2 linked regions of the Schizosaccharomyces pombe genome follow. Changing the gene in region 2 together with the main gene of any one other region gives a genetic interaction. Each region holds a gene or a part of one and is shown on either strand. Other genes may lie near its edges.

The links.
Region 1: of rem1 (region 2) and crs1, changing one enhances a phenotype caused by changing the other (phenotypic enhancement), as found in Schizosaccharomyces pombe (one study listed by BioGRID).

What each region holds. Positions count from the first base shown.
Region 1 is NC_003423.3:3,451,015-3,455,408, forward strand, and holds crs1 (cyclin Crs1), read right to left. Parts: upstream 2,503-4,394; 5' UTR 2,393-2,502; coding exon 2,105-2,392; intron 2,064-2,104; coding exon 1,904-2,063; intron 1,864-1,903; coding exon 1,808-1,863; intron 1,756-1,807; coding exon 1,575-1,755; exon of another isoform or gene 1,527-1,574; coding exon 1,309-1,526; downstream 1-1,308. Other genes in the region: ade9 (trifunctional formate-tetrahydrofolate ligase/methenyltetrahydrofolate cyclohydrolase/methylenetetrahydrofolate dehydrogenase), read left to right, coding at 1-1,138; protein mug110, read right to left, coding at 2,732-3,403, 3,447-3,521; myr1 (N-myristoyltransferase 1), read left to right, coding at 4,210-4,394. UniProt on the Schizosaccharomyces pombe protein: Has a role in meiotic chromosome segregation.
Region 2 is NC_003423.3:1,952,160-1,957,400, forward strand, and holds rem1 (meiosis specific cyclin Rem1), read right to left. Parts: upstream 2,554-5,241; coding exon 2,092-2,553; exon of another isoform or gene 2,007-2,091; coding exon 1,260-2,006; downstream 1-1,259. Other genes in the region: SPOM_SPBC16E9.20 (uncharacterized protein), read left to right, coding at 1-202; phosphatidylserine decarboxylase Psd1, read left to right, coding at 3,550-4,863. UniProt on the Schizosaccharomyces pombe protein: Required for pre-meiotic DNA synthesis and S phase progression. Regulates levels of meiotic intragenic recombination.

The DNA.
Region 1 (4,394 bases), 1.5 Mb from region 2:
CAGTGAATGCATGTCAATTCTGGCTCTTTCATGTGATTTAAACGACATGCATTCTCGTTTATCCCGTATGGTTATAGCCAACGACAAATACGGAAATGCTATTACTGCTGGCGACCTTGGAGTTTCTGGAGCATTGACCGTTTTGCTTAAAGACGCTATCAAACCTAACTTGATGCAAACTTTGGAAGGAACACCAGCGTTTGTTCACGCAGGACCTTTTGCAAACATTAGCATTGGCGCGTCTTCTATTATCGCTGATAAAATTGCTTTAAAATTGGCTGGTACAGAAAGCTTTGACAGACCCGAAGATGCCGGCTATGTCGTTACCGAAGCAGGATTTGCGTCTGACATGGGAATGGAAAAATTCTTTAACATCAAATGTAGATACTCAAAACTTGTACCTAACACCGTTGTTTTGGTTACCACTGTTAAAGCGCTTAAGTTACATGGAGGCGGTCCCAAGTTAAAACCTGGTGCCCCAATTCCTGAGGAATATCTTGTTGAAAATCTAGACCTTGTAAAGAATGGATGTTCCAACATGGTAAAACACATTCAAAATTGTCATAAATTCAATATTCCTGTTGTTGTCGCCATCAACAGTTATAAGACTGATAGTTCTAAGGAGCATGAAATAATACGCGAGGCAGCGCTACAAGCTGGAGCTGTGGATGCTGTACCTTCGGATCATTGGGCCCAAGGCGGCAAAGGAGCTATTGAATTGGCCAAGTCCGTAATGACGGCTTGTGATCAGTCATCCAATTCGAAGTTTAGGCTTTTGTATGATAGCGAGACTTCAATTGAAGATAAAGTAAATGTGATTGCAAAAGAAATGTATGGAGCAAACGGTGTTGAATTTAGTTCTCTAGCTAAGGAACGAATAAATACGTTTATCAAACAAGGGTTCGGTAACTTACCAATTTGCATGGCGAAAACCCAATATTCTCTTTCGCATAATCCCGAATTTCGCAATGTTCCAAAAAATTTTACAGTTCCTATTAGAGATATGCGTTTGAATGCTGGCGCTGGCTTCATTTATCCGCTAGCTGCTGAAATCCAAACAATTCCTGGTTTACCGACTGCGCCTGCCTATTTAAACATTGATATATGTGAAAATGGAGAAATTGTTGGGCTGTCATAAATCTACTAAGAGGAAATAAAGAAAATGTTGGCTATTCATTGGTAATTTATTATTGTTTTAGTTAATTAGGTTTATGGGCGTTATTAAAAAGGGTTTAGAGTTTTGATTAAATAGCTTAGTTTTAATAATTAAGTTCATTAGAATTTGGGTTAATAGATGGGTTTGAAGCTTTATGCTAACATATCCGCTATACGCTGGATAGATATAATCAAATCGTGAAACCGATTTGAGTGTTTAATATAAGTTTCATCTGCAGAACCATTTGTGGGCAAAGAACACAAATGTTGAAAAGGTTTGAAATCAAACGCAGAAGGCCAAATAATTTCAAGCAAGACCCAGAACGAAGCGCATAAAATTTCCGTCGGCCTATATTCGATAAATTGACAATCTGTTCAGATTAGCGTGCTATCCATTAATATATTATCAATCTACTAACCCTTCATTACCTCAACCAGTAAATACTGCCATTCAACCATCATTTGATCACAGCTTTCAGAAGGCAAGGATTTAAAGAATACATGTTGGAAGATCAACGGTGTTAAAAAAGACTCAACAGAAGGAAGAGAAATGACATATATATCGAAGTTTAATAAAGCAAGAACAATTTTCTCGTATTTCTATTAATTTGTTAAAGAAACATGTTTCAACGAGCTGTAAATCACTACAAACCTCTAAGTTTTTTGTAGACAAACTTGGAGCCAAATTCTCGCAAAAAGACTTCTTCGCTACAAAAGAAATTAATAACAGTTTTTATCGCGAACATACCAACTGAGTAGTCACTTGTAAGTTTAAATGCAATGAACAGACAGCCGATAGCATAAATTTTAAAACTGGTAGTTGGAATAGTTGGTTTAACGGTGAAACAACGATCCAACAGAGAAATTGCAATGCACAACGTGTCCATAGATACGTAGCCGACAGTTTCCTGTTTCGTTAGAATCTCGAAAAATAGCAATGCTGACGCACTTCATAAAGTACAGAAAAAAGTTGCTGACGCTTTTCCTTATAAGCAATGTTTTGATTCAGAATAGAAGGGGATATTTTTGTGAGTCCTTTCTTCTCTTGCTCAATGATCGAATTAACGGATGGGACGCGTCTAAGATTTATTAAATGACTAGAGAAAGACTCAGAAAATGTAACATCTATTTCATTAGAAGTTGTTAACGGCCCTTCAGAAATAACCTCTTTCTCGGATTTGCTGTTAATAGCGGGAGTGTTTAAGAATAAGCTAAATTCGTGTTTAGATGTAAGCATTTCATAAATTTTATAATTTAAATGATTATTAGAATAAGGATGTTTGTTTGAATTAAGAAATTCAATAGTGATTTTCTAAGTCTAGCCGTATCTGGGTATGTGTTGTGGTTAAGGTCATTTTGGTACGTTTACGCGAAAATGCTTTTGGATATCAATCATGCATAGTAGAATTAAACAGTCTAATGCCATATAAATGCTTATAGCATATACTTATATAAACATGAAATAGAAGTATAACAATAATTAGTATTAGAATTGCTATAAATTCCAGAGAAGAGAAAACACTGCTAGCATAAATAATAACTATGGCATTCCTGAACCGGTGAAGTAAGGAGATACTCAGGTTTGATTTGCATTGTTAGAAAAAGCATGTGTAGATGTAACGGATGGAACAGACAACACTTGATAGGGTGGAGGTAATGAATCTGAGATGCTCGCTGAGGCAGAAGGATAACGAAGATTAAGAGTTCGAGAGATATTTATAAAGTTGTTAGAAAACCCGTATAAGTAAGTGTTGTTAGATGCTTCACGAGTATTGGGAGCTTCAGGAAGTAAAGCAGGTTCTGGATATGGCGGTAAGACACGATTCCCATTGCATCGACCAATACCTATTCCATGATAAGATATGCGAGGTCCATGCTTTTTAAGTTTCGCCAACTGACGAAGCTGAAGTATTCTGGCGTTAGGCGTATCAAAGGATGGATATGGATTTACACCGCCTTCGCCAGCTTTAGAAAAATTCAAGACAACATCAATTCCTTCTCTCTCACCTTCAATTCCAACTAGCCGTTCATTTTCTTGAAGGCTCGCAGAATATTTTGGTAAAGTGATAGAAGGCTCGACTATTGGAAGATCGTACATATCTGTTTCCAACTCTTCCTCATCATCAATAGACATGCAGCAGAAAATGGATCTTAGCAGTCTGTTCTTTTGGTAAGTACAACTATGATATCTTTTTATAATGATCAAGGCAATAAAGAAAATAGGGATTAAAACAGAAAACCAAAATACCTAAAATGTTAACCTTTAAATTTCAACAATTTAATTAACTTACAAACCGTAGTTCTTTTAGGTCTTCTGTGCTAGCAAAGCTAGAAGCTTGATCATTTTCATCAGACGATTCAACCATTTGATCCTAATTCAAAGCACTCAGCCAAGCTTAGCATAAACTTGTTAATGAAATAACAAGCAAAGCTCCAAAAAAAAGAGAGAAAGATTGATTTTCCTTCGGATCCCACTCCAGTTACAAATGGTTAAAGGATGAGATTCGACTTCATGCGAATAATGCAAATACCAAGATCATGTAAACAAACAAACGCTCGAAAAAAGTGCCAAGTTCAACTCATACATTTTATCGAGTATAAAAATATGGAGACAAAATAAATAGGTTTACTATTTCATCTATTGTTCATTTTTTAAACGATCATGGAATCTTATGTAATGATTTGTATTTTGAGTTTTCTATTAATGCAGCAGCTTCAAGCGCAAACGTCTGCTACTCATTAAGTAATCCATCTCCCCTTAAAGATAAAATTAATAAAGGACTTTAACTAATTTTTTTTATCATCAAATTTGGTTCGCTAAGGAGACAACAATATGCTGAAGCGTTTCTCACGTATAGTTATTTTTTTTATTTTATTCCTCTTTATTAAGTAGTAAAATTAAATTTTGAAGGTTCATTGGCGAGAAACGCTTCTATTATGCAGCCGACGTTTTGTCGTTAGTAGACCTAGTCCATCTGGAAATATCCAAGCTAGAACCAAACTTGACTTTACGGCCAACTTTGCTTTATTTTTAATATTTTTGGATTATTTACGATGGACAACGAAAATAATAAAAATACAAAAAATTCACAGCAAGACAGCTCATTTTCTGAAGGAGGAATTCGTGAACTGCTAGACCGATTGGCGTTGAGATCTTTGATAGAAAAAGAAGAAGCTGCAGCTCCCCCAAAGACTTACGAAGATTTCAAATTTTGGAAAACCCAGCCAGTTCCTAAGTT
Region 2 (5,241 bases):
CTTTCCTTTGTTTATCAAATGCTCTCATCTTCACACCCTTACATCCTTTTACTCTTTACTCTCTTCTCTCTTCTCTTCTCTCATTCCTAAGCACTCCTTGCATCTCGCTCCACTACGAAAACTAAACTTATCGCACTTTGTTTCTCCCCTCTGTGCTATGTTTCCCCACGTTGGCTTGCGCTTATTGCAAACGACGCAATGATGACGAGCCCTTGGAGACAGGGAAACCGGGGAAATGCTACGTCGATGATGTTTGCAAATCAATGTGTTTGCCAATGTTCAGCAACAACAATTCCGTCTGCATACTCTCTGAAACATTTCAAATGTATTTAACTCAACAAATGTTACAACCCAAACTTTTTCTATTTACGCCCAAATACGTTGATAAGCATCTTTCAAAAGAACTGCTCGTTTCATCAAATGACTGCTCCAAGGATTCCTATATTCATGAGCTGATATGGCTATTCATAGTATCATAGAGCATATTATCAGATAAGACAAATTAGGTTACAGATTTTTGGTAGCATAGACATCTAGATACACACAACAACAAGATATAGATAGGACCACTAGGTAAAAATTATTATTAATAAAATATATACCCTTACTAAAAAAAAAAAACAAATAAATAAAAATAAAATAAATTTAAAATAATAATAACAATAATAATATTTCTTTTTTTTATTTTCTTTATTTCTTTTTTTTTTTAATTTAATTTTGCTTTTTATTCTTTTTTTCTTGTTCAATTTAGGTACTTTTCTTTCCTTGTCTTGTTCATCTTTTATTTTCTTTTACTGTATTCTAAGGCACTCCTTTAATAAAAGGTACTTGGTAGCGATTCCTCTTCTCCTTCTCACAAACCTTTATTAGCGACATCTACCGCACTACCAACCTCTCGACATCAACTTGACCCTTCGCTTCTCTATTCCGTCCCACCCTCCCTCGCTTTTTACAAACCTTCTTACTTAGCGATACACCTTAATTCGAGCTTCTTTCACAAAAGTCCATATCAAGTCGTTCGTCTCCCTTTTCACTTCTATAACCCCAGTCTTTACTCTCTCGTGTAATTTTTTTTCTCCTACTCTTACTCTTCTACTTTTACTACTACTCTTCTTTTTTCTCTATTTTCCTACACTTCCCTCTCTCTCTCTCTCTCTCTCTCTCTCTCTCATCCTCTTCATATCTATCTTTCATTAAATTTCCTACATCTTACTTCTTCTTCTCTCTCTTTTCCCTCCTTTTTCTCTTCCCCCCCCCCCTCAACTACCATCCATCGCCATCAAGTTCGTATTTGTCGCAATCCAGTCATGCACTTGTCGACTAATCCCATGGAAATACGGTGTTGCATACTTTGAATAGATCGCATAGTGGTGATCAAACGGATTTTCTAGACATTTCAACAGTAGATGCACATACGAAACTAAACTCATATAATCATATCCCGTAATTTGAGGCAACGTATTGCTCCAGTTTTCCTCTTGCAATATAGATTGGCCGGTGTAGGCGCATGTCGCTACCAATTGACTCGCCCTTAGACTTGAAAATCTTTGTTCCACTAGCGATACTTCAAGAAAATATTTTATCATTATTCGCAGCTGCGACTCCCATTTGTTGACAATCGTCAATAGCCTCAAAAACGATACTGGCCCCGGCCACCCAAGTTGATATTGAAGAACCATAAGCATATACTTTTCCATTCCGCAAATATCTTCTCCTATCCATTCTCCCTCCAACACTATTTCCAAATCTTTCACTGTAGGAGGATGGATCTCTTCATACTTGCAAGCAATAAACAGCGCCGTTGCGCCGCAAAGTTTCATTTTCGATGCTGGCACATTTTGTAGAGATAGAAATCTATCCAATACATTGATCGATAGGAATAAGGATTCTGGAAGCAGGTTTATACATGTATGCACCCCCACAATCCAATTGATCACACTAGCCCTCATCTCTGTAACATAATATGGTTGAGCCGACATATGTCGGTAATCAGGCATAAATCGAATCTAAAAAATGTTAATAAATAAAAACTTCTTCAACTCCTTCATCTTCTTGTTTTCCTTCCCCCTTTTCTTCCCATTTTTTTCATACCTCCAATTTCTCCATGTGCGATAGGATTTCTTTTGCGTATTCCACAGACACCGATTCATCTGCTGAATATCTCATCTGTAATTCCTCCTCTTCATCCTCCTCTGCACAATTGTCATTTGATTCTTCAATCGCTATGCCAAATTCCGAAACACTGCAATTAGGACTTTGAACGTTACTGATCGAGCAAACATCCAAATCTACCAAAAGCTGTTTCTCCGTAAAGACTATCTCTTCCTCTAAAGGTGACGCTAAAAAACTATCATAGTCCTTTTGTATTTGCGACTCTTCAATTGAACTAATTCCATGCCAGCTCTGTGACGGAAAATGTTTATCTGATGGGCTACACCCATTTTGAAGGGATATTTCTCGTACCTGTGCGTTCACCCAGCCTTTTACGTTCAATGATTTGGAAACATAATTGCTTATTTCTTGAAGCGCAACTCTTTTGTTGTTAGAGTTCATGTTTGAATTGGTTCTCGTTGCTGAAACGGTCGCTTTAATTGTTTCAACCAAGCTCTTAGGTAGGCAAGTATCAGTCAATACAATTGCTTTTACTCTTTAATGATTGGGAATCAAATCAAACCGTTTTCTTGAACTTTTTGTTGTAAAATGGCAGTATGCTATTAGCAGGTTCTGTTTGTTTACAGTGAGTCAACAAAAAGTTGATGGTGAAAATGTTTGTTTATTTCCCATATACATATACCAACGGTCGTAACCTTAAAGTAAAACACAACCCAAAACTAAACTTTACCTCTACTATATCAGAATTCATGCTGCTTAAAAATTCCAAACAATGCCCGAATTCATGAAATAGGTTTTTGTGTTGATCGAAACGTTATCAAAGTAAAGCAAGGATTTTGATCAAAAACTCTTTTATTATTTGTATTGATGAGTTTTTACAGTCGCTCATCGGTTGTAAACATTCCATTATTTTACCGTTTTCGAATCATTGAAAACTGAACATAAGAAATCTTGCTACAATTAAGCTTTTTTTCTATTAGGTAACCATCAAACAAGCTTAAAAAAAATAATTAATTTACGCCTTCTCGTAAGTTATTATAATCAAACAAATTGAAATGTAATTGAAAAGAATCTCCTATTCTAAGATTTTTCTACAAACTTGCTTCGAAAGTTTCTTCTGCACTTATACAATGCTATAAGGAATATTCCTTTCTTCTAATTTTGATCGATTTTCGCAAAGTAGGATTGCCTGATACAATGTCAAGGATCTGATTTAATTTCCTTAAAAAAAAAAAAAAGAAAGAAAATGAAAACTCAACAACTTTAAATCATATTACAGTTCCCATATTTACTTGATATCCCAAGTTTACTACGACTTAACTTCTACCACTATCCTTTGAGAAGCACATGGATTCGAAGAAATAGCATATGGAAGTTTAAAAGTTAACGGGTCTCCGAAATCCATTCAAAAGTTTAATTCCATAAAAACAATCTAACATGCTAAAATTTCATCGTAATGTGAAGCCTCAATTTGGTGCATTTGCAAGGTATAGTAGTTTGGGAAAACACAACTCTCGTAAACGGGTTGGAATCATCCGCTTAGCATATGGGTTGACAGGAATCGGCTTGGTTGGATTAGCTGGCTTCGCTTGGGCTCAAGATCGTCACGAGAAAACGTATCAGAAGAAAGGCGTTCAGGTGGAGGGACCATGGCAATTTTATGTCCTTACCACTTTACCATTACGAACTCTCTCGCGTTGGTGGGGATATGTTAATCGTATTGAGATTCCTCTATGGATGAGAGTGCCAGCGTTTGGCCTTTATTCTAAAATATTTGGTTGCAACTTGACAGAAGCTGACCCCGATGATGTCCGCCAATACAAAAATCTGGCCGAGTTTTTCACCAGAAAGTTGAAACCTGGAGCGCGCGTAATTGATCCCGATGCCCCAATTGTTATTCCTGCGGATGGGAAAATCTTGAATTATGGTGTTATTGAAGGAGGTCAGCTTGAACAAGTAAAAGGTATAACCTATTCCCTTGATGCACTATTGGGCGATGAGAAGTTAGCTCGTTTGAAGCGCAGCCATGCTATTCCCTCTCCCGATCATATCCCTCACATTCGTCAAGAGGAGTTTGCCAAGTTAAATGGTATACATTACAGTTTACAAGATTTAATGGGTCATGATCATGGTGAACGACCAAGCCATGTCAAAGATGCTAGCGCACAACATATTGATTTGTTAAGCTCAACAAAAGTGGCAGCCAAATCACAGTTTACGTTGTTCGGATCAAGAGAAACGAATTGTTTATACTACGCAGTTATTTACTTGGCACCAGGTGATTACCATCGATTTCATTCGCCGACTGATTGGGTCGTAGAACGAAGAAGGCATTTTTCCGGAGAGCTGTTTAGCGTTTCTCCTTTTATGGCTCGTCGACTCGGAAATCTTTTCATCTTGAACGAAAGAGTAGCTTTGATGGGGAGATACAAATACGGGTTTATGAGTATGATACCCGTCGGTGCTACAAATGTTGGCAGTATCCGAATTAAATTTGATAAAGATTTATGTACGAATCAGTTTGGAAAACTAGGCCCAGTAGGTACTTTTGATGAGGCTGTATACACCTCATCTTCTTCTATTTTGCATGGTCACCCATTACTTCGTGGAGATGAGGTCGGAAATTTTGAGCTTGGTAGTACAGTGGTATTGGTGTTTGAAGCACCTGCGGATTTTGAATTTTTGGTCAAACAAGGGCAGAAAGTTCGTGTGGGATTACCTTTGGGTCGAGTTGTCCCATCTTCCCATTAATAAAAGAGATGAACACTCATATTTTAGATTGTGGATTTCCCATATGTTTAATTTTATTTTCATTGTCTTTTTGTTGAAATCTACAAACTTAAGGGATTTTATCTTGGAATTTCTTTGTTTCAATATAGCAAGCAATGCATATTGGTATAAACTTGTTGTATTAAAAGGACGGACTGGATAAAACGAGAAGAAATGAATCTATTCGTCAACGTAATTATGATAATCCAATGTAATATTAAGTTAGGAAAAATACACAAATTAAAATATGTACATGCACTAAATTACAACCACTCCACCTTGAAGTAGTCGTACTCAACGGCATCTCAGATTTTTATAGTCTCATTTAATTAGCCATACAATTAAATATCGCTAATCTCA